Linked DNA regions of Oryctolagus cuniculus. The protein of the gene in region 3 binds, or shares a complex with, the protein of the main gene of each other region. Links are inferred from orthologs where the notes say so. Each region holds a gene or a part of one and is shown on either strand. Other genes may lie near its edges.

The links.
Region 1: the proteins of SRRT (region 3) and NCBP1 are in contact, whole or in part, in a cryo-EM structure (PDB 8PMP), measured with the Homo sapiens proteins. The link is inferred for Oryctolagus cuniculus from reciprocal best matches to the Homo sapiens genes SRRT and NCBP1. Residues at the interface, in NP_056992.4 of Homo sapiens: Asp857, Pro858, Arg859, Val862, Glu863, Tyr864, Arg865, Asp866, Leu867, Asp868, Ala869, Asp872, Asp874, Phe875, Phe876; in NP_002477.1 of Homo sapiens: Tyr461, Gln463, Lys511, Lys557, Ser558, Ser560, His561, Ser564, Ala567, Lys568, His570, Lys607, Ile609, Arg610, Thr611, Gln612, Met648, His651, Glu705.
Region 2: the proteins of SRRT (region 3) and NCBP2 are in contact, whole or in part, in a cryo-EM structure (PDB 8PMP), measured with the Homo sapiens proteins. The link is inferred for Oryctolagus cuniculus from reciprocal best matches to the Homo sapiens genes SRRT and NCBP2. Residues at the interface, in NP_056992.4 of Homo sapiens: Asp857, Arg859, Ala860, Ile861, Val862, Glu863, Tyr864, Arg865, Ala869, Asp874; in NP_031388.2 of Homo sapiens: Ser48, Phe49, Tyr50, Thr51, Thr52, Glu53, Gln55, Lys67, Met71, Leu73, Met76, Lys77, Lys78, Thr79, Ala80, Tyr89, Asp107, Glu121.

Annotation. Positions count from the first base shown.
Region 1 is NC_091432.1:201,437,163-201,442,412, reverse strand, and holds part of NCBP1 (nuclear cap-binding protein subunit 1), read right to left. Parts: intron 2,863-5,250; coding exon 2,777-2,862; intron 1,910-2,776; coding exon 1,809-1,909; exon of another isoform or gene 1,803-1,808; coding exon of another isoform or gene 1,780-1,802; intron 1-1,779. UniProt on the Homo sapiens protein: Component of the cap-binding complex (CBC), which binds cotranscriptionally to the 5'-cap of pre-mRNAs and is involved in various processes such as pre-mRNA splicing, translation regulation, nonsense-mediated mRNA decay, RNA-mediated gene silencing (RNAi) by microRNAs (miRNAs) and mRNA export.
Region 2 is NC_091435.1:83,418,284-83,424,023, forward strand, and holds the start of NCBP2 (nuclear cap-binding protein subunit 2), read right to left. Parts: upstream 2,899-5,740; 5' UTR 2,773-2,898; coding exon 2,695-2,772; intron 677-2,694; exon of another isoform or gene 14-676; coding exon 1-13. Other genes in the region: protein NCBP2AS2, read left to right, coding at 3,020-3,319; PIGZ (GPI mannosyltransferase 4), read right to left, coding at 5,033-5,740. UniProt on the Homo sapiens protein: Component of the cap-binding complex (CBC), which binds co-transcriptionally to the 5' cap of pre-mRNAs and is involved in various processes such as pre-mRNA splicing, translation regulation, nonsense-mediated mRNA decay, RNA-mediated gene silencing (RNAi) by microRNAs (miRNAs) and mRNA export.
Region 3 is NC_091450.1:43,020,386-43,025,635, forward strand, and holds the end of SRRT (serrate RNA effector molecule homolog), read left to right. Parts: exon of another isoform or gene 1-909; coding exon 910-1,079; exon of another isoform or gene 1,080-1,180; coding exon 1,181-1,365; exon of another isoform or gene 1,366-1,453; coding exon 1,454-1,552; exon of another isoform or gene 1,553-1,647; coding exon 1,648-1,762; exon of another isoform or gene 1,763-1,927; coding exon 1,928-2,085; exon of another isoform or gene 2,086-2,238; coding exon 2,239-2,300; exon of another isoform or gene 2,301-2,384; coding exon 2,385-2,463; exon of another isoform or gene 2,464-2,651; coding exon 2,652-2,840; exon of another isoform or gene 2,841-3,077; coding exon 3,078-3,251; exon of another isoform or gene 3,252-3,343; coding exon 3,344-3,497; exon of another isoform or gene 3,498-3,584; coding exon 3,585-3,778; exon of another isoform or gene 3,779-3,967; coding exon 3,968-4,124; exon of another isoform or gene 4,125-4,249; coding exon 4,250-4,351; exon of another isoform or gene 4,352-4,441; coding exon 4,442-4,568; exon of another isoform or gene 4,569-4,626; coding exon 4,627-4,714; 3' UTR 4,715-4,790; downstream 4,791-5,250. Other genes in the region: UFSP1 (ufm1-specific protease 1), read right to left, coding at 4,860-5,250. UniProt on the Homo sapiens protein: Acts as a mediator between the cap-binding complex (CBC) and the primary microRNAs (miRNAs) processing machinery during cell proliferation.

The DNA.
Region 1 (5,250 bases), on a different chromosome or scaffold from region 3:
TGGTAAAATACAAGATTCTGGGTACAACAAGTTTCTTTAATGCAAAATCATTAAGAGGGTGGGGGAGTGGCACATGGCACAGCACTGAGTTTTAAAACTTAACTAACCAAATGTCATGGGACCCATTCCACTTTGAGAAACACTATTCTAGCCACTTATAAAAGATGCAGAATAAAACCAATTTCAACTAATTTCCTATCACTTAAACTGTTGAAATCTTAACTTGGTACTCATTGTTGATTTCATTAAAATTATTTGAAAAGTAGGAGAGAGGATTACAATAATAAACCTTTAGAAGAAGCAACTGTTGCTTCATAATTTAGGCAGCCTTTAGAAATAAGTTCAAACACTAAAGCGACTCCTGAGATAATTCAACGGGGAAGGGATTCTTATAAGTTTATAACCTTACATATTTATAAATCTAGTTAAAGGTTTTCCTAAGGTATCTAGCATTAGGGACAATTTAGGTCTTCAAAAATACTTGGACAGAAATCATACTCCCTATAAACCTCCCCAAACCTCAAATTAAAAAATAGTGCCAAGCAATACTGGTACAGCCTTAAACAAACATAGCCTCTGACAAGAGTTTAAGTATAAACACTATTCCATGCTACTAAGTGCTTTTAAAAGAGAAGGAGTTTTTTGGATAACCACAGCAAAATGATTTTTATTAGTTTTTTAAAGATATGTGTTCCTGAATATTAACTGTATTCCTCTTGAAAATTCTAAAGCAAATTAACTGTACTTTTAATAATGTGACGTTAAAATGAAACCCACTAATTGTATGTGCATTTTTTAAACTTCAAAAATTAACTGCATTAAAAAAATAACTTGGAGCCGGTACTGTGGCATGGTGGGTTTAGGGTGCCTGCAATGTGAGCATCCCATATGGTAGTGCAGTTTGAGTCCCTACTGCTCCTCTTCCAATCCATCTCCCTACAAATGCTCCTGGGAAGGCAACTGAAGACAAACCAAGTAACTGGGCCCCTGCCAGCCACATGAGCGGCTAGGATGAAGTTCTGGGCTCCTGGGTTCAGCCTGGCCCAAACTTGGCTGCTGCAGCCATTTGGGGAGTGAACCAGTGGATCGAAGATTATAGTCATCTGCCTTTCAAATAAATAAGATCTTCCAAAAGACAAAACCAAAAAACTTAAGTCACCTTCATAATTCAAAAACAGCTTACAGAGGTTATAATTTCATTTAAATTACGAAGACCCCTATTTATCCAGAAGTTAGTTCTTTGCAAGGCCAGCAATTCAGAGCAATCAATGTCTACCTGAAAGTCTAGATCATTATCTTGGTTACTGACAGACTCTTTCATAATTTCATGAGACTTTTCCCACCGTAACATCCTCACAAAATGCGGTCACCAGTATTAGCCAACCTAACTCAGAAGATTATGTCTATTAATACCTTCAAAAGCATTTTCTGTCTCCCAAGAACCACAACTTTAATTACCAGTTCTCAAATTTGTTTGGTACTACCAGCTAAAAAAATAAGTTAAACTCTATTTATACATTTAAAAGTATATGCTTACAAAATAAAATCTCTGGGAAAGAAAATGTCTACTTTCTCATTTAAAAAGTCAATCATGATTCTACGGTTCTAACAAACAAAACTTTTCAATTTTAGTCCTATTTATCTTTAAGAAAGAGTTCAAAGGGCTAAAGATCATTTCATTTGTATAAATTTCCCAAGAGGAGAGCCATGACATTTGCAACATAAACACGACTTTTGAACATTTCCCAAAGCATTTAAGAGTAGATAACACATTATCACCTGGATTCATAAATCTTTTGCATACATACACTGTACAAAGAAGTCTTAAGATCTTGCTCTTGTAGTTGGGAAGATCAGCTTCCAAAACACCAGCCAGACCTTCTAGGTTGCTCTCCAAAGAGCAGGCACTCTGTAGGGGCAACATAACAGCTGTCAAGTATTCAGTAATCTGAATACCAATGAAGTTTTCTATATGGTCAAGTTAAGATTTCATATGCATAAGGCACTATGACAGGTTTAGCATGAAGTGAATCAGGTATTATTCTTAAAAATCCATGAAAACAAAAAAAAAATAAATAAAATAAAAAAATAAGCAGCCTGCTATGGCTTGGAAACAGTTTCTTCCCCCGAGGTGCACTGCTCAAAGCTTGGTCATAAGGTAGCGCTAATGGCAGGTCATTAGGTCACAGGGGCTCCATCCTCAGGACTGGATTAGCGCAGGCGGGTACTGTGGCATGGGCTGGCTCTCACAGGAATAGGTTAGTATAAAAGAGCAAGCAGGCCTCTCCCCAGCTCTAGCTTCTCCACTCAACACTCACGTCCCTTCTGCACACAGACATCCCCCTTCCCACTTCTCCAGCACGTTGTGATACAGCCAGGGGGGCATGGAGGAATGCCAGGGTCACGCTGCTTGGACAAGCCAGCCACCACTACACAGAACCAGACAAATCTTCCCTTTCCAAGTCCTCAGCCTCGGCATTTACAGCAATACAAAACGGACAAAGACACAGTGAAGACGGCAAAGTATCAAAAATAGAAGGCCACCATGCGCTGTTGCATCTCTCTTAATGCACCTTCTGACCCTGAACAAACTACCTGACACATCGGGGTGTGGCTCAGTTCATTTATAATTGAGAGCACCACTGTCTAGGCCCCTTCTAAGACTTCTCTAACAATTACCACTAAAAACTCTCAATTATCTGCATCCCAGGGGCTTCAACCTGCATCAACTTTGGAACAGAAGCATGGTCACACAAATTAACCATTTGGTACGTACCTTTTCTCCTACTTTGCATATTAAAGACTCCAAATGATCTTCAGTTTCATTTGCATCAGTCTTTCTCCTTTTGTGAGGCTGTCCACCTATTTCAGTAACAAAAAAATTAACATCTCATGATGAATCTGCTATCATAAATTTATTTATAGATTATAATCTTTTCTGTGGGACTGTTTTTCACTTAGAGCAGAAGAACATCTTAACTGATACTCCATTTCTCAGACTAGGCTGGATCAACCTACAGTCTCCATTCTCAGGGTCACTACATACAGTAACTCTAAGAGGCGCTATGTATGGTAAATTTTTTGTGAATAGTGCTCATGGAGCTATGCAATCTAGCTGTCCTGACTGGTCCTGTGGGCACAACTGGTTCAACAGATCACACAGCACCACTGTTCAGATTACCCCACACAACAGGAACTATTACCAACATACATACAAAGCCCCAAGCACTGTTGCTAATAACTGCTAGGAAAATGTATCATTTGCTCATATTCATGTAAATGATTCCTTGCTTGAATGGCTATTAACTGAATAATTATTGATACTAATTCACTCAAAAACCATCCTAGGATAGGTGGTTAGCCTTGGCTCAGCCCCATCAATTGCAGGCATCTGGAGGGCTAGCCAACAGATGGAAGCATTCTCTTTTTCCCCCTTATCTTTCCCCTGTTTTTCAAGTTATTTAAAAAACAAATCCAAGATTACTTTTAAAAATCTACCACTCTGAAACCATTATCAATCACCTTGACTGCTAAAGAATTCAAGTTGAGCCGGCGCTGAGGCTCACTAGGCTAATCCTCCACCTAGCGGCGCCAGCACACCAGGTTCCAGTCCCGGTCGGGGCGCCAGATTCTGTCCCAGTTGCCCCTCTTCCAGGCCAGCTCTGTTGTGGCCCGGGAGTGCAGTGGAGGATGGCCCAAGTGCTTGGGCCCTGCACCCCATGGGAGACAGGAGAAGCACCTGGCTCCACCCTTCGGATCAGCGTGGTGCACTGGCCGCAGCACGCCAGCCGTGGCGGCCATTGGAGAGTGAACCAACGGCAAAGGAAGACCTTTCTCTCTCTCTCTCTCTCTCTATATCCACTCTGCCTGTCCAAAAAAAAAAAAAAAAAGAATTCAAGTTGAAAGAAGACGTGCTACAAATCAGCCTCAAGCTCTGGACTATATATTGTTCATATTCTCACTGCTGATCATCTCTTATTTTGTTAACACATCCATCTTAAGTCCTTTTGTGGTGTAAAACAGCTTAAAATTTAAGATGATGTTATTAAGTATGGACCATGATGCTATTATTACACGATATTGGCTAATTTCCTAATATAATTCAATTTTTGGCTTCCAACAATTAAATGATTAGCACTGCATGCCTGTGGACAGAGGCAGCAGTATGCACATGTGTTGGAATCTGTACTAATAATAATGAAAATTTGCACTTGGAGATAGGACTGTGTAGTGGCAAATTATAAATAACTTTCAATCTTCTTCAGAACTAATAGCCAATCTGAGTTATTCTTTCCACAGAGTTGATGATTATTTACTCTCTCTGAACACTTGGCTTTAAATTACAGTGATCCTCACGAACACAGCACCAGGCTATTCTAAATTTGCAGAGTTCACGCCTCTCCAATGACTGAAATGATTTTCAGATACCACACAAAGTAAAGCTGAACAAAATCAATTTTTCTATCTAAAGACCAGAGAAGTATTATAAAAAAGTTACTGGCCCAATCCCTTATTTACCATTTTCATTTGACTTAGAATACAATTTTGAAGATAATGCCACAAGAAGTGCAGCGCGCATGCAGTATGACAATGAGATAAATTCCTAGTGATATCTGCAGTGGACACATGTGGCATGGTGGGACAGTGACCTTGATTTTTAAGTTGCAGAAGCTATTAAAGTTCTACCATTCTTCCATACAAAGGTTTTTTTATTTCCAGAACTCATTCATTCACTGGGAAAAACCCTCACATCTGATGCAATGTTTATATAAGCAATCAGCCAGGACACTAAAATAGTTTTCCTCAGGGCTAGCACTGTGGCATAGCAGATAAAGCTGCCACCTGCAGTGCAGGCATCCCATGTGGGTGCCAGTTCGAGTCCCAGCTGTTCCACTTCCAATCCAGCTCCCTGCTAATGCACCTGGGAAAGCAGAAGATGGCTCAAGTCCTTGAGCCCCTGCACCCAGGTGGGAACCTGGAAGAAGCTCCTGGCTTCTGATCAGCCCAGTTCCAGCTGTTGCAACTACTTAGGTAGTGAACCAGCAGACTGAAGACCTTTCTCTCTGCCTTTCTGTAAATCTGCCTTTCAAATAAAAAAAGAAAAAGTCTTCCTCTGGAGCAGCATTTCTCAATTAGCTGTAGATTCTGCACACACACACACACCCCACCATGGCCATGTGGCAGTAATCTCTGGAGACACTTTTAGTTGTCACAACTGAGGGAGTGCAACTGGCCTCTAGTGGGCAGAGG
Region 2 (5,740 bases), on a different chromosome or scaffold from region 3:
CTTCATTGTCACCCTAGAATTTCAAATAGAGACAGAGTTAAACAATACAACTTACTTAAAGAGAGCCTTGCTTAAATAGTATCTCCAAGTACAATAAAACATTAGTTCTGATTTGGAAATAAAATTCCCTTATCATTCCAATCCACCACAAAAACTTGCCAATAAGAGGGGGAATTCAAATTCTGTAAAGCACTTAAGCAAGGTCCAGGAGGGGAGGGTTAGGCTCACAATAATGACACTGTGCATGCCACCTTTCCATTCCTGCATTAGACTGCCAGACAAGCAGTGTGCCTTTTTCTTTCACACTCCATATACTCAGCATTGGATCTTTCTCTAATGGCCCAAGTTTAAATTCCAGTATAGGGGCCAGTCCTGTGGCGTAGTGGGTAAAGCTGCTGCCTGCAGTGCCAGCATCCCATATGGGTACTGGTTCGAGTCCTGGCTGCTTCACTTCCAATTCAGCTCTCTGCTGTGGCCTGGGAAAGCAGTAGAAGGTGGCTCAAGTTCTTGGGCCCCTGCACCCATGTGGGAGACCTGGATGAAGCTCCTGGCTTTGGATTGGTGCAGCTCCAGCTGTGCTTCCATCTGGGGAGTGAACCAGCGGATGGAAGACCTCTCTCTCTCTGCCTCTCTGTAACTCTTCAAGTAAATAAATAAATCTTAAAAAAAAGAAAAATCCCAGTATATAAGGAAGGGCCCTTCTCTCTGTAGAGAAAAATGGATTTTCAAAGATCAAGTTTCCCTTATAAAACTGTCAAAGCAACAATGGCTTAGATGACTTACAAGGTCAGAGTTCAGGAAAAAAGATAATGATGACTAAAAAGATCTTCTTAGTGAGGTTCCTGACTTGGAAGATAAACCAGAGACAGGAATATATAATTGGCTTTAACCAAGACACCTGACAATCCCTGGGGACAAGATGGCTCATCATGGACTAGACATGATGCCTTCACAGAAACCAGTATCTTGGGTGCTGGCATTGTGGTGTAATAGGCTGTCTCCACCTACAGTGCTGGCATCCCATAAGGGCGCTGGTTTGTATCCCAGCTGCTCCTCTTCCAATCCAGGTCTTGGCTAATGGCTTGGGAAAGCTACAGAAGACAGCCTGCGTGCTTGGGCCCCTGCACCCCCGTGGGAGACCTGGAGGAAGGATCAGCTGTGCTCCAGCTGTTGCGACTATTTGGAAAGTGAACCAGCGGATGGAAGACCTTTTTCTCTATCTCTCCCTCTCAAATAAATCTTTTTTTTTTTTTTTTAAGAAAGAAACCCATATATGGCTGTTTTGGACCTTCTAGCCTCCATACTGGGAAGGATACATGTGATTAAATATGAGGCCCATCAGCTGACTTACTCTCCCGCCGCTCTGATCTAGCTTAAGAGTCCAAGATAACCACACCAGTGGCATTCCAGCTTGTAGGGCCATGAGTAGATCCACACCAGCACGCACAGGGCACTGTTCCAGTGGCCCTCACTTCTTCAGTCACTGCTCTACATGTAGTGCTGATCAGTTCTCTTCACTCCAAGAATCACTCTGCATAAGCTGTCCCTGAATGCTCTATAGCGCATTACTTAGAACAACAGTTTTATGTGATCGCATTCAGTGGTAATTAGAGAAATAGCGAAACCATCTAAACTCACACCACAAGAAAACTGAGGGCTGGTGTTTGGCACAGCAGTTAGGACACCCACATCCTGGTCAGACTGCCTGGGCTCAAGCCCTAGCTACGCTTCTGATTCCGGCTTCCTGCTAATACTCACCCTTGGAAGCAATGGGTGAGGCCTCAAGTCACTGAGTTCCTGTCTCCCAGGCATTTGGGGAGTGAACCAATTTCTCAAATAGGAAACCAATTGGACTATGTAATAATATACACTGATTTTTAAAGAAGCAGTCTGGTTCACTCCCCAAATGCCTGCAACAGCCTCCCCCACTCCCCAGCTCGCCTAACGGAACACGAAACACTGCGACACGGTGTTCAATAGTTTCCCTAGTAATTAGGTTATGAGTGCTGCTCTGCCGCAACCTCTGGCCATCCCCGCTGTCACCGGGAAAGCCCATCTCTAAGTATCTGCAGCTGCCCCCTTTCCCCAAAGTATGTTGTAATACAGCCTAAAACCCCCCTTCTGAAATCCAGCATTCTTCCATCTAAACACGCGGGCATCCTCTAGGTGGTCGATCTGCCACCCCACTCCGAACTCTCCCCGACGTTAGAGACAGGACTCAATTTTGTGTCGCCCACCCACCAGTTAGAGCCACTAACAAAAAATTTTAAAAAGGATCCGAAGCGTCAAAGAACACTGGCCGATTATTTAAGACCGGGGGGGGGGGGGGACCGACGGGGGACGGTATGTGTGTCAGAAAGGCGCCTCCACACGCTCCAGCAATGAAAAAGTCTCTCCCCTCATCACAAGTCACTTTCCCGACGCACGGCCTGCAGGAACAGCAGCCAGCGCTGACGACGCCGCTCGAGCCCTCTGCGCCGGCCGCGCACGAGGAGCGGCTGCAAGGCAACGGGAAAGCGAATCTCAAACTCTCTCTCTCGGAAACAGAGTGGGGTCCCCTCCAACATCGCTGCCTCCCCAGCAGGCACCGGGGACCCATGGCCCGTTTCGGGGCAGCAGAAATGTGCAAGAGCAAACCGTTTCTCAGCGTCCTGGCTCAAGGGTCTGCCCGTCGCGCGGCCCGGGCTCCCTCACCCGGAAGTGCTGGTCCCGGTACTGGCTCAGCTCCACGTAGGAGTCACTGCGCAGCGCCTTCAGAAGGCCTCCCGACATAGCTCACACAGCTGCACAACGACGCGCCGACTCCCGAGAACAACCGGACTGGGGCGGCGGCGCGGCAGCAGCGGCGGCGGCGGAAACGGAAACGCGCGGACGCGGCGCACAGTGGGAGTCTCCAGACCAATCCGAGCGCGGCAGTGTCGTCATCAGACGGCGCGGAGGCGGACACAGTCCGCGGCCCAGCGCCGCCGGTCCGGGGACGAGGGAGGCGTGCTCTTGGTTCCGGGACGCTCTCACGAGGATGGTTCTTCGGCGGCTGCTGGCTGTGTTGCTGCACAGCCCGCAGCTGGTGGAGCGGCTGGCCGAGTCTCGGCCCATCCGGCGTGCGGCGCAGCTTACGGCCTTCGCGCTGCTGCAGGCCCAGCTGCGCGGCCAGGACGCGGCCCGCCGTCTGCGGGGCCTCGCGGCGGGGCCCGCCGGCTCGCTGGGTCGTCGCGCCGCGCGATTCCGAGACGCCTTCACACAGGAACTACGCCGTGGCCTCCGGGATCGCCCGGGGACACCACCGGGGAGCCAGAGGGGTCCAGGCGCAAACCCTTGAGCCCGGGCCGAGGTCGCCTACTTTCGCTTCGGGACTGTACAGTGGCTTCGGCGCTGAGGAGTCATCCCGGGAACTGGGCACAGCTTCGAAACCCTGACTCAGATTTCCGGCCTGCAGACGTCCCACTACGAAGAGCCCAGGCCGAACGGACCTCCTCGTTGAAGCCCTGTGACGGGCAGAGCTCCGTGTGGCCAAAGACCCCGAAGCCTGAGGGGCTGCCCCGGGACGCAGCCAGAAAGGGAGCCTGCCCTCTACAAATGGGACAAGAACTCGGGCTAGATATGCGGGGAAGATCATGGATGGAAACACGGCCCTGCAGCTGCCGAAATCCTCTGATTAAATGCGTGAGCTGATTAACCGGCGTGAGTGTGGTGCTTCTCAGACCAGGTGGATTGGGAGGCCTGGGCGCTGTAGGCCGGCACACACAGTGAGTGCTTATTCTGGGCTGGCGCTTGCTAATTGCTCTCAGTGTGGGTTATCACACTTAACTCTTTACAGCGCGTTCGTGGGAGGAAGTGGATATTACTTCTTACGTTGCCCAGAGCCTTACAGAGCGGAATGTGAGTACAGGCATTTGACTCCGGGGCCTAAATCCGTAATCACCACTCTCCACAGCATCTACCCTGCCCCAGTGCCTGTCTTCCTCCACCGCCGTCACCACCAGGCATTAAGACTACCGGGATTCCTGTTCACTTTTGTGGGTCTGGGATACAAACCACTGGTCCAGCTAACGGACCTACAATTAGGATGCAAATTGTGTACAGAAGTGCCCTGTCATTTCCGGCTCTTGATTGGGTGTCTGATGGGCTCTACTTAGGCTACACAATTAATCATTCCGTCTAGGAAGCGTGAAGCCTTTAAATGTAACCGGTACTGACCAAGCATCATAGATTCCAACTGTGTTCCCACGGGGCAGGTTGGAAGGACCTGAGTGACATCGCTGAGGTGGGAGAACACCTGGGCTCCCTCCTCTTCGAGAGTGAGCCTGCAGGGCAAGGTGCAGCAATGGCCGGAGGGCTTAGGAACAGGAGTAGGAGAGGGGAGAAAACTTCCAGAATAACTCGTTTGGATAATAACCGAACACAGAGACAGCAGGTACCAAGGTGCCATTAGATGCATTGCCACTCCCACTTGCATTCTTAAAGGGCTTTGTGGGAGAGATGCCTATTAAGCCAGGGGACGTGTGCTGTGGAGTCCAGGAATGACAAAATTAGCTGACACATTCTGCAGAGATTCTCTGGCCTCCTGTGTTCTGAGCCAAAGGGGCTTTGTCAAGGTCACACGGTCTGTGAGTGGCAGGTCTGGGACTAGAGGGCGCCCCTGAGTCCGAGCCTCCTGTTCTCTGTGTCACCACATTGCCCTCCTGGGATCCGACAGGCCAGATTGACTTAGGAAGCCAAAGAGCTATCTGTCATTAGTAGTTCCTGTCTTCACAACCAGGCACTATTACGTATTTAAAACATCATGGTGGCCCGAAGGACTAGGGCAGGTGCAGACAGCGGGTGCCATATTCACATCAGGATCCTTTGGAGACCTTGACACCAGGACCATGACTCATCAGGTCTTTGTTCTCCGAGAGAGAAGTGCCAGCTCACCAAGAAGGCCGCACACCCAACAGCTGTGCCTTAGAGAGGCAGCGGTGGAAATCCTGAAAGAGACCTGTGGACTAGCAGCCCAGCCCAGCTACCCATGTGGAAGGTATGGTGGCTCCTTTTATGGCCGAATCCTGGGCAGTGGCTGCTCTGCTGTGTTGTCAGGCTTCTCTCCCAGCTCCATGATGTGGAGACTGAGGTGGTCCCTCCAGGCCCCGCTCAGCAGGGAAGACAGGGCTGGTGGATCCTCCAGGGTCAAGTGGGGAAATATGAGTGTCTCATTCTTGAGGGGGAAGCTGCACTTCTCCACAGCACGCCTTGTGGTGCCAGGGGTCACCACAAAGAGGCGGCAGAGCCACGGTCCCCCGGCCCCTTGGCAGGCTGGTTGTCTGGTAAGATTGTTGAGGGCTTGGCATAGGACCCAGTCCTCAGTCCCACCCATGTCTACCACCTTCACGGGAGAGCCCAGGCTTGGGAGGTGGAGGAGGTGTTGGGGGGGCATGTAGGTGTGGGTGAAGAGGAGTGTGTAGCGGGTGGGCACGCTCGGGAGCACAGGTGCGTGGACCACTTGCTCCAGGTACTGCAGGCTGGGCACCAGGCCCCCCTGATGCAGGCAGCCAAAGAAGAGGGCACCTAGGGCATTGAAAAGGACCAGAGCCCCCTTCCAGGGCACAGGCTGTGTCCGTGGACTGCAGAGCAGGACCACAGGGACCAGGAGGGGGATCAAGAACCGAGCCTCCTGATGGCTAAAGGCGGACAACAGGGCCAGGGGTGTGAAGTACAGGAGAAGGAGGCTAGACCTGGGGCTGGACAGCAGGCCATGGGCACC
Region 3 (5,250 bases):
GGGCACCGCTAGTTAAATCTTGAGCTCTGTTTGACCAAGCAGCCAAGGTAAAGATCGTGGAGGCGACGCCTGCGGCTTTCTCTCCTCCCACGGCCTCGTGCTTCTGTTCTGTCCGCTGTCCCTTTCTCTGACTGCCCGGCCGCCTGTGTCCTTGTCTCAGTCTCTCACTTCCTTTCATCCTCTCTGTCCCTGTTCTCGCTGCCTGCCTAACACTCACTTCTCTTCTGTCCCCCGTTTGTCTGTCTTCCGTTGCCTTTGTTTCCTATCTCTGACACTTTCTTCCTCCTTCCCACTCCTGCTCTCTCTGGTCCCCCGTCCTGTTGGGAATGTTTTATTTCTCGTGCTCCGGCCCTCCTCTCTCTCCCGTGGGCAGCACCTGTGGCTCTGAGGGCGCACCAGTCTCCCCCGCTGGTCTGCCCTGTCCCTTCTCCATCTTGCTTATCTTCCCCAGGGGGAGAGAGCTGTCCTGCCTTTTGGCTTTTCCTATCTGGTGCACTTGAGGTTTCCTTCTGTCTTCCACCTAGGGGTGGAGGGAGTTGGTGGGTGCAGCTCTTTGAACCACAGTAGTGTGGGGTTGGCAAGGAGAGGGAGGTTCCTCGGGGCCTGCTGTTGCCGTAGTCTTCCTGTCCGTAGCTTTGGGAAACGACCCTAAACGTTAAGTTAGTGTTTCCCGGAGACAGCGCGATAATTCTGCCGGTGCAGCCCTGGGCGCCCCGTAGCCACTGTCTGCCAGTCCAGAGCTCTCGGTTCCTGCCTCCCCAGTCTGCAGAGCACAGCCCCGGTTCCCCTGGGGTGATGACATTGCTGGGTATGAGAGGATGGGGGCTATGCCCTGGCTGGCCTGGGCCCCTCCCCACATCCAGGCCGTGGCCTCTGCTGACTGTCACCGCCCTCCTGCCCCGCCCCCAGGTTTCGCTCTAAGTACCACCCAGACGAGGTGGGGAAGCGTCGGCAGGAGGCCCGGGGGGCCCTGCAGAACAGGCTGAGGGTGTTCCTGTCCCTCATGGAGAGTGGCTGGTTCGATCACCTCCTCCTGGACATCGACAAGGCTGACGCCATCGTCAAGATGCTAGACGCAGGTGTGTGGTTCGGCGGGGGTTGTCTGGTGGGCAGCGTCTCGGGTGGGAAGCGGAAGCCGGGGCCTTTGGGCTATGGGCTGTGACCTCTGCTTTGTTGGTAGCTGTGATAAAAATGGAAGGCGGCACAGAGAACGACCTGCGCATCCTGGAGCAGGAGGAGGAGGAGGAGCAGGCGGCAAAGGCCGGGGAGGCCGGCAAGAAGGAAGAGGGCCGGGCCGCGCCGGGCCCCGGGGACGGAGAGCGCAAGGCCGGGGACAAGGACGACAGGAAGGAGGACGGCAAGCAGGTGCGAGTGGCGTGCCTCCCGGGGGCGGGGGCGGTGACCCTGTGGCTCCACTGTGGAGGGGACATGGACAGCCTCGTCTCTTCCCTAGGCGGAAAATGACAGCTCCAATGATGACAAAGCGCAGAAACCTGAGGGTGACGGAGACAAGGACGAGAAGAAAGAAGACTTGGAGAAGGACGCCAAGAAGGTGAGGCGGGTGCTGGCTGTGGCGGGGGGGGGGGGGGGGGCAGCGCGCAGGGCGAGGCCCGGCCCCTGACGCGCCCCGGGCCGTGGCTCCCACAGAGCAAGAAGCGGAGCCGCAAGCACAGCGGGGATGACAGCCTGGACGAAGGCAGTGCGTCCGAGTCGGAGTCGGAGTCCGAGAGCGGCCAGGCCGACGAGGAGAAGGAGGAGGCGGGTAGGCTTCGTCTTCCGCTTCCGGTCCCCTCTGCCGCCCACTGGGGAGGGGCGAGGTGGTGGAGTCCACGGGAGGGTGCAGCAGGCCGGGGGGGGGTGGGTGGGTGGGCAGGAACGGCTCCGTCCTCCGCTATGAGCGCCCACGAGCCTTTGCCTTCCTGCATAGAAGAAGCCCTTAAGGACAAGGAGAAGCCGAAGGAGGAGGAGCGGGAGAAGCCGAAGGAGGCCGCAGGGCTGGAGTGCAAGCCGCGGCCCCTGCACAAGACCTGCTCCCTCTTCATGCGCAACATCGCCCCCAACATCTCCCGGGCCGAGATCATCTCTGTGAGTGGGGGGGAGGGGCCGATGGCGCGGGGCGTCCCAGGCCCTCACGTGCAGCCTGACGCCCTCTGGGAGGGGGCACAGAGGACAGGGGGGTGGAGGAGGAAAGGAGTCCGCCAGTCACCCAAGGGGTCTCTGTCGCTCTGCTTCTCGCAGCTTTGTAAAAGATACCCCGGCTTTATGCGTGTGGCCCTGTCGGAGCCCCAGCCTGAGCGGAGGTGAGAGAGGGGACACGCTGGGGCGGCCTCGGGGCCAGCGCCGCCTCCACCCCAGTACTGTGCTGATGGTTTCCTCCTGGGTAGGTTTTTCCGCCGTGGCTGGGTGACATTTGACCGCAGCGTTAACATCAAGGAGATCTGTTGGAACCTGCAGAATATCCGAGTGAGTGCCAGCAGGTGGCACTGCTGGGGAGGGGCGGGGGGCGGGGAGTGCCTCTCTGTGCCCCTCCGCGGCTTCCTGCTCGTCTGTGCGTTCCGCTGGGCTCTGGGGCTGTTGCCATGGGCGAGTCTGACCCGCCTAAGCGGGCCGTCTCGGCACTGGCGCTCAGCAGGGCCCGTGTGTCCTTGCAGCTCCGGGAGTGCGAGCTGAGCCCTGGCGTGAACAGAGACCTGACCCGGCGTGTCCGCAACATCAACGGCATCACACAGCACAAGCAGATAGTGCGCAACGACATCAAGCTGGCCGCCAAGCTGATCCACACGCTGGACGACAGGACCCAGCTCTGGGCCGCGGAGCCTGGGACGGCCCCTGTGCCCGCAGTCAGTGACACCCCGTGGGGCTCTCTCGAAAGTCAGCTGCTGAGGGCTGCTCTGTAGGACTGGCCCTTGGACCCCGGCCCCCACTGTCTGGGTAGCAGCCCCCGCCCCGCCCCCCAGCTTCCTGTAGAGCAGGCTGATTGTAGTGCAGGTTGAGGACAAGGGTGGCAGCTGGAGCCGGTGAGCCTGGCCACCCCAGGGCCGCCCCAGGCTCACCTGCCCCTCCCCCCTCCCCGCCAGAGCCTGCCCTCCCAAAACCCCATCTTGAAGAACATCACCGACTACCTGATTGAGGAAGTGAGTGCAGAGGAAGAGGAGCTGCTGGGGAGCAGCGGGGGGCCCCCTCCGGAGGAGCCCCCTAAGGAAGGGAACCCGGCGGAGATCAGCGTGGAGCGCGATGAGAAGCTGATCAAGGTGCCAGCCAGCCGCAGTGGGCGTGGGGCACGGAGGGCGCGGCCCGGGGGCCCCGGGCGGGCGTGGGGAGCCGACGACCTCTCTTCCCTTAGGTTTTGGACAAGCTGCTCCTCTACTTGCGCATCGTGCACTCCCTGGATTATTACAACACTTGCGAGTACCCCAATGAGGACGAGATGCCCAACCGCTGTGGCATCATCCACGTGCGGGGGCCCATGCCACCCAACCGCATCAGTCACGGGGAAGGTGAGCCCCTGCGAGTCCCCCCCACCCACCCCCCCCCGTCCTGGCGCCTGGCGCCCTTCCCAGCCTGTGCTCCTGTCCCTGGCCCAGTGCTGGAGTGGCAGAAGACGTTCGAGGAGAAGCTGACCCCGCTGCTGAGCGTGCGCGAGTCTCTGTCCGAGGAGGAGGCCCAGAAGATGGGCCGCAAGGACCCCGAGCAAGAAGTGGAGAAGTTCGTCACGTCCAACACCCAGGAGCTGGGCAAGGATAAGTGGCTGTGTCCTCTGAGTGGCAAGAAGTTCAAGGTCTGGGGTTTGGGGAGCTGGCGCGCTGGCCGGTGGAGGGGGGGGGGGCGGGCAGACAGAGCGCCCCCTGCGGGCTGGGGCGGGCTGCCGCGGGGACCTGGCCAGCAGCCAGGCTGGAGGGGGGCTGTTCCTCCGGGTGGGTCTGGGACTGAGGGAACCCCCACTACCGTGTCCCGACCTCCTCCCCAGGGCCCCGAGTTTGTGCGCAAACACATCTTCAACAAGCACGCGGAGAAGATCGAGGAGGTCAAGAAGGAGGTGGCGTTCTTCAACAACTTCCTCACCGACGCCAAGCGCCCCGCTCTGCCCGAGATCAAGCCCGCTCAGCCGCCCGGCCCCGCCCAGAGTAAGATACGATCCGTGAGGGTCTGCCGCGGGGGTCCTCCCAGCTGTCCAGGGCCTTGGTTCTCCTTAACCTTCATCCCCTGAGACACCCCCCCCCCGCAGTAATTCATGTTCCTGTCCGTGTTGTACTCCCCCCAGGCCTGACGCCGGGACTGCCCTACCCGCACCAGACCCCCCAGGGCCTGCTGCCCTATGGTCAGCCCCGGCCCCCCATCCTGGGCTATGGCGGTAAGTGCCGGAGGGCAAGTGCCGGCGGGCGGCGCGGCCCGGTGGTCGGGAGCGTGGAGGGCAGGCTGACGTCTCAGCGTCTCTCCACAGCTGGTGCTGTCCGCCCTGCAGTCCCCACCGGGGGCCCTCCGTACCCCCACGCCCCATACGGTGCTGGCCGAGGGAACTATGACGCCTTCCGCGGCCAGGGAGGCTACCCCGGGAAACCCCGAAACAGGTGAGCCGAGTGGGTGTGGCTGCCCGGACTCCCGTCGGGGCCAGCCCGCCTCATCTAGTCTCTCCTCCAGGATGGTGCGCGGAGACCCAAGGGCCATCGTGGAGTACCGCGACCTGGACGCCCCCGATGACGTGGATTTCTTCTGAGCTGCCCGCCCGCCCCTGCAGCTCTGAGGGTTTTTTTACGTTCAGCCCGACTGCCAGTAAAAGCACTTCCTCGCGACTCCGCCTCGGCGTGCTTCCTCCCGATCTTCCCGGGCCGGGCTCTGGGAGCAGGGAGGCCGCCGGGCCCTCAGTCCAGGCCGCGCCGCGCGTCCGGGGCGGGGTTCCGGCTGGTGTAGCACAGGTTGTAGAAGGAGTGGGGGTCGAAGGCCGCGGGCGCCTCTCGCCAGCCCACCCACCCGGCAGCCTGCAGCTCCGCGGGGCTCTCTGGAGAGCCCCAGTAGTGAGGGTCCAGCACCAGGACGCGGGCTTCGGCGCCGGGCCCCAGGCACACTCCCAGCAAGGCCTTGGCGCGGGCATCCGCGTCTCCCCCGACCATGACGGGGCCCCCTCCTCCTGCGAAGTGCGCGTAGAGTCTCTCCAGCTCCCCCTCAAGTCCCGCGCCACGGGGCACGTGGCACAGGCGCCCCTGAGGCCCACCGAAGTGTTGGAGGCACAGGCTGGCCTCTACGCAGCCGATC